Linked DNA regions of Mus musculus: region 1 is reported to be linked to region 2. Evidence: microRNA targets listed by miRTarBase, many of them from high-throughput screens and not tested one by one. Region 2 holds a microRNA gene; the other region holds the end of a gene's coding sequence.
What was found. The annotated mature microRNA mmu-miR-5106 reads AGGUCUGUAGCUCAGUUGGCAGA and lies in region 2 at 2,022-2,044, opposite strand. An mRNA with a match to its seed (bases 2 to 7 or 8) in the 3' UTR can be bound and repressed. Matches are read on the target gene's strand: a 7mer-m8 pairs with bases 2 to 8, a 7mer-A1 pairs with bases 2 to 7 and ends in A, and an 8mer does both.

Region 1 (3,408 bases), not on the chromosome of region 2:
CTTTGTATATTGAGTCCTAACTGTTTGAAATACCAAATATATATTATATGTATATATGTACTGTACTATATGTGTGTAATATATATGTATATTATACTATGATATATTATACATATAATTATGGTACTTCTATAGTACCATATCTAAAACTAGATTAGTTTTAGTTTATAATGGCTTAGGAATTTGGTTTGGTTTGATTTTCAAGGATTTATTTCCAGGCCCATGAACATACTAGGCAAGTTGTACCTGAGCTACATCGATAGCCTGGCTCATCTGTTAGTAGTTTTAATATAAAAGACTTAAAGCTCCTTGTCATACTCTTTTTCAGGCAACCCAAACTGCTGCTGAGTTCAGATGCAACTTCAAGAATCATGGAAGTATACGTCTGAAATACTTGTTGAAGATTATTTTCTTCATTGTTCTTGATATTATGTTTATAGTATATATTATATAATGTATTTAATTTCTACTGCCTAGTCTTAGGTATATGAAACGGTAATTCAGCATTTGTTCTCTGTCTTAGTCAGGGTTTCTGTTCCTGCATAAACATCAGACCAAGAAACAAGCTGGGGAGGAAAGGGTTTATTCAGCTTACACTTCCATACTGCTGTTCATCACCAAAGGAAGTCAGGACTGGAACTCAAGCAGGTCAGGAAGTAGGAGCTGATGCAGAGGCCATGGAGGGACATTCCTTACTGGCTTGCTTCCCCTGGCTTGCTCAGCTTGCTTTCTTACAGAACCCAAGTCTACCAGCCTAGAGACAGCACCAACCACAAGGGGCCCTCCCACCCTTGATCAATAATTGAGAAAAATGCCTTACAGTTGGATCTCATGAAGGCATTTTCTCACCTGAAGCTCCTTTCTCTGTGATAACTCCAGGTGGTGTCAAGTTGACACACAAACACATTACTATTAAGCCTCAACCCTTACTTTCTTATTAATCCCCATGATCAAAATAACTTTAAAAGTCCCACAGTCTTTGAAAATTCTTAAAATTTCAATCCCTTTAAAATATCCAATCTCTTTTAAAATTCAAAGTCTTTTTACAATTAAAAAGTCTCTTAACTGTGGTCTCCACTAAAATACTTTCTTCCTTCAAGAGGGAAAAATATCAGGGCACAGTCACAAACAATTAAAAGCAAAATCAAACTACAACCTCAAACGTCTGGGACCCTCCAAGGGCTTGGGTCACTTCTCTAGCTCTGCCCTTTGTAGCACACAACTTGTCTTCTAGGCTCCAGATGCCTGTACTCCACTGCTGCTGCTGTTCTTGGTAGTCATTTATGGTACTGGCATCTCCAAAACACTGTTGTCTTTGCTGTAACTAGGCTTCACCAATAGCCTCTCATAGGCTCTCTTCATGGTGCCAAGCCTCAAATCCTTTGCATGACCCCTTCAGTCCTGGGCCATCAACTGCTACTGAGGCTGCACCTTTACCAGTGGCCTTCCATGGCCTCTCACATGCCAAGCCTCAGCTGCTCTTTATGTCTTCAAAACCAGTATGACTCTTAAACATAACCAAGTCCAGCTGCAGCTAAGGTAGAACCTTGTCTATCTCTGGAACACAGCCTCTTTGTGCTCTCAGAAAACACTTCCCTCCTATGACTAGGCAGGCCTTTTACTCAGATCTCCTTGCTTATGTCTCCCAATTACTAGGATTTAAGGCAAGCATCACATGGCCAGGCTCTCAAGCAAATCTGAAAAACTTTACATGTATGATTTTTAGAGAATTTATCATCTGCATATCCTCTGAATGTGTGTGTAATATAAAATAAAGTAATATAAAAACTCATACACCCAATCAGTGATTAATTTTTATTTAATGAATTTCAATATTGCTTCTGGTTAAGATTTAATTGTGTCTATCTTTCCTCCTAATTTTCCCCCAGAATAATAAATGATACCTTTCCCAATATATGCCAGGGGTAGTGTAACACACCTTTTATCCTAGCATTCTGGAGGTAGAGGCAGACGGATAAGATCGGACTACATAGCAAGTCCCAGGCCAGCCAAGACTATTGTAGGCCCTTTTTTCTAAACCTACGTTAATACGTGTACTAAAATGCTTTAAACTCCTTTCTAGCCTTCCACTCATCATAAAAGGTCAAAGGAGGATGTGGCCCTGTTCAGAAACAATTCTTTGGTGAATCCAATCTGCTTTGTCAGGATATCAGCAGTTCAGCTCACAGAATCAGCAGCAGTAGTTTGATCCACTTGAAACATCTATACAAATGGCGCATTTCTCTCTACAAAGTCACAACAGCTCTTACACTCTTGCTCTTTTGCCTCCTTGTGCTCGCTCTCTCCTCACTCCCTTCCTCCCTCTGTCCACATGGTCATGGCCGGTCTCCACTTATCTTCTCTCTGTCTCTACTACTCTTAACACCCCTCCCCTAAATAAACTATATTCTATACTTTAAAGAAGTCACAACAGTGATCAGCAAGGAAGGCAAGCCAAACCAATGCCACAGCATTGTCAAACAAGACCACCAAAGAGTGGCAAGGTGAACCAATACCAACTAGCATAGTTCACTGTCTGTTTGTTGGGTTACACTTATACCCTATCCCAACATCACATGTTCTGCCGAGTGTCTGCTCCACCAAGACATCACATGCCCTTTTTCCAAGCAGCTTCCAGAAAAACAACAGACTGCTTCAGCAAAACATCCCTCCCACGTGTCTGCTTTAGCAAAAACATCCTCTCATACGATGTTTCCAGAAAAACATCACATGACAAAATAAATGGTCTCCAAAGAAAGAAATTGCCACTTCTGACTACATATTTATTTTTACATTGAAAATTTATGTTAGTCATTCTTCTTTTAGTATTTTGTAGAAACATATAGCCTTTAGTCATAGTAACTATACACAGGAAAAACAGGATAGTCAGCTCTTTTGTGGACTACTGGTTTTGTAATGACTATCTTACCAGGTAGCATCTGTGGAACTGAAGATTCGCTTCAATGATTGAGTGCTTACAGCACAATCAGGAGGACCAGAGTTTGAGTCTTAGGATCCACCCAGTCAACAAGCCAGGCATCTGGTGCTCACCTGAAACCCAGGTCTGAGACCTGTAATAGAATCACTAGGACTCACAGCCTAGCCACAAAGACAGCAAGCTTCAGGTTCAGGAAGAGATCCTATGTCAGAGGAACGAGTGGCTAGGGATAGAGAGCCACTTCCTATTGCACACTCGACACACATGACAATAAAACTATTAGGCTTAGTAGACCTTACTAGGTTAAGTAAGACTCCTATCTTTGACTCATGAGCAAATCGTATCCAATATCCTAAGCATATGTGGGTTTATGCTGTAAGACCCCCGAAGCTGGGCCTCCGCTCAAGTCCCGGGATGAGCTGGCCGGCACCCCAATGACTCGAGAGAAAACCACACCTGATGTAAACTGC
Region 2 (3,408 bases):
AGCTGTCTCAAAAACTTCTATTTTTACGTGGGGGCGTGGGGTACCTAACTGCATGTATAGAAGTCAGAGCTCCCAGTGCTGTGTGGGAAGTTCTTTAACCACTGAACCATCTCTGGTGGCTTGAGTCTGTGCTTTAAAGGATTAATTATCAGGGTCATCATATTGTACCCATTTTTGTTTGTTTTTTAACCAGGGACTCCTGTAGTTCAGAATGGCCTAAGAGTCCACATATAATGATAGCCTGTTTCACCTGCCTCCACCCCTCAGGCGTTGGGACCACAGGAATGATAGCTAGTCATATCACTACCATTAGTCTCTTTTTTTTTTTTTTTTTTCCGAGACAGGGTTTCTCTGTGTAGCCCTGGCTGTCCTGGAACTCACTTTGTAGACCAGGCTGGCCTCGAACTCAGACATCCGCCTGCCTCTGCCTCCCAAGTGCTGGGATTAAAGGCGTGCGCCATCACACCCGGCTAGTCTCATTTTTGTTCTCTGTACTCGTTAAGGGCCAAGAATCCCTGGGGGCTGGCGAGATGGCTCAGCAGTTAAGAGAACCGACTGCTCTTCCAGAGGTCCTGAGTTCAAATCCCAGCAACCACATGGTAGGTCACAACCATCCGTAATGAGATCTGATGCCCTCTTCTAGTGTGTCTGAAGACAGCTACAGTCTATTTAGATATAATAATAAGTAAATCTTAAAAAAAAAAGACTCCCTAATCCCTTTGTTCTGATGCTAGCCCATTGTCATACCCCTTCAATGAGGTGCTATTGCATGTCTGCATCATCTCTCAAATCCTAACTATGCCTAGTACACTGTAGACAGGTTTACCCAGTCACTAATTTTAGTGGCTACCAGACTGCAGGGAATAGTCAAGAGCTATTTGTCCAGAAGAAACATATATTTATAAATGAAACAGTCCAGGTGATAGTACACAATTTAAGCTAAAATAAAACAACTCCTGATCAACACACTAGATTAAAAGAGGAACTATTATTTTGGTTTTAGGAGCTGGTGTATGTAGCCCAGGCTGGCCTAAAGCTGCTACTTCTACTTCACCAGTCACATTAGAATTACAAGCATGCACTACCACTCTAGAAAATGTTATGGTCAGACAGTGATGGCTCACTTGGGAGGAACTCAGGTAGGTTTTGTGAGTTCCAGTCCAACCTGGTCTACAAAGTGGGTTCCAAGACAGCCAGGGCTACACAGAGAAACCCTGTCTTGAAAAAGAAAGAAAAGGAGAGGAGAGGAGAGGAGAGGAGAGGAGAGGAGAGGAGAGGAGAGGAGAGGAGAGGAGAGGAGAGGAGAATAAAAACTTACATCTTCCACTAAAAACTGATAAAAATAGAGCCAGTAAAATTGATTATTGATTAAGGAACCTGCAAGCAAGCCTGGCAATCTGAGTCTGATTCCCAAAATTCTCATGGTAGAAAGAGAATCAACTGCCATAAGTTGTCCTCTGACTTCCACTGCATGCTACAGCACAGGTATGTGTACAGATACACACACACACACACACACACACACACACACACACAGAGTTTCTATTTAAAAAAAAAAACAACTAGTAAGCACAGATACGTGTGTAATTTTTTAAAATGTATGTGTGAATGTTTTACCTGCACATACGTATGTGGGCCATGGGTGCCTGGTGCCTGTGGAGGTGAGAAGAAAACACTAGATCCTCTAGAACTGAAGCCTGGTCCTCTGCAAGAGAAGTGCTTAACTACTATGCCATCTCTCTAGCCTCTCCTAATGTAATATGTAATTTTTAGTCTCATAAATTTAGCTTTCAAATTAGTAATACCCTTATTTTAAAGTCTTAAAAGGGGTAGAGAGATGGCTAAGCAGTTAAGAGCACTGGACTCTCTTTCAGAGGTCTGGAGTTCAGTCCCAGCAACCACATGGTGGCTCACAACCATCTGCAGTGGGATCCCATGCCCTCTTCTGGTGTGCACTCATGATTATTTGGACAGTCTTACTGGGAATTGAACCTATAGCCTCAGGCACATTGAGGAAGTACTCTGCCAACTGAGCTACAGACCTAGGCCCTAGATAGGCTCTCGGGTTGTTGCTGTTGTTGTTGCTCGAGTGTTTTTGTTTGTTTGCTTGCTTGGTTTGGTTTGGTTTTTCTGGACAAGGTTTCTCTGTGTAGCCCTGGCTGTCCTGGAATTCAATCTGTAGACCAGGCTGGCCTTTAACTCAGAAATTCCACTGCCTCCAACAGTCAGAGTGCTGGGTTAAAGGCATGCACTACTACCACCCGACCTGGACATGCTCTTTATAATGAGGCTGCCAGCAGTATTTGTGCAGAAATAGGTTTATGTCCAGATTTCCTTAAACAAGGATAGAATCATGCAAAAAGCAAGAATCAAAGTCAAACTGTGAATTTGGCTCCCAGGAAGATGGGCCAGCTCATAGCTATCAACTTATACAGAACACACAGCGATATGAATTATGGACAGTCCTTTATCCACACACTAAAAAGACTCCAGGCCACTATTGCTGTTTGTTTTGAGGTTGCTTAACCAAGCAAGTTTGTTTTGTTTTGAGCAGCGGAATCCCCTTGTTGCCCGAGCTACCCTCAACTCTATATTCAAGGATGACCTTGAACTCCTCCTCTTAAGTTTACAGGGTGCTGAGAACAGAACCTAAGGTCTCATACATGTTAGGCAGGCATTCCAACTGAGTTCACCTCTACAAACAATTGTTTGGTGTATTTTATGTTGTCTCTGTCTCTGTCTCCCTTCCTCCTTCCCTTCCTCCCTCCCTCCTTCCCTCACTGTTTCTCTCTCTTGTTTTTTGGATTGATTTATTTTATGCATTTGAGTGGTGTGTCTGCATGTACATCTGTGTCCCTCTCTCTTTCTACCTTTTCTCTTTCCCCCCACTTTTCTACAATAAAGCTCTAAAACCACAGACTGTCTCTGATCATCAAAGTCCACCATGCTTGAACGATGGGATACTTTCACCTAAAGAGCCCTTCTAACTTCCCGCTGGAAGGTCTTCTTGTGCTCTAGCCAGGGGACTCTCGCCAGCGTGGGAACCATCAAGCGCCCTTTCCCCCTGCCCTCTTCTCTCTTCAGCTCCGGGGCTCAGTGCCGCCCAGGGGCCTCCATTCTGTTCTCAGCTCTTCCGCAGCTGTATCCAGCGTGGGATGCTGGAGGCTGGAAACCTGGTGCCTAGGACTGCCCCTTGTCCACCCCCTCCCCCTGCCGAGCTGGGATTCCATGGCTTCCCACAGCCAGACACCCACCCGGGACCCCATGGAAAGCGTACGGCAGTCTCCCACGTCCACCCGCCCAGAGCACCAGAACTCTGGTGGGACACGGGTTTTCTCCCACTCCCCTTTATTCCCCTGGCGCCCACGGCCCCACACAGGACACCCAGGCCTACACAGAGAAACCTTG

Region 1: miRTarBase lists Hmmr as a target of mmu-miR-5106. Seed matches in the 3' UTR shown: 7mer-A1 at 551-557.

The regions. Positions count from the first base shown.
Region 1 is chr11:40,699,779-40,703,186 of GRCm38, reverse strand. It overlaps Hmmr (hyaluronan mediated motility receptor (RHAMM)), which reads left to right. Exons shown (of 18, transcript NM_013552.2): 18 at 329-1,799. The coding sequence ends at 348. Among named protein-coding and RNA genes, the nearest start is that of Mat2b, 8.8 kb to the right of the region's middle.
Region 2 is chr4:44,219,176-44,222,583 of GRCm38, forward strand. It overlaps Mir5106 (microRNA 5106), which reads right to left and starts at 2,092; the gene lies at 2,020-2,092. All of the region lies in intron 1 of Rnf38 (ring finger protein 38), which reads right to left.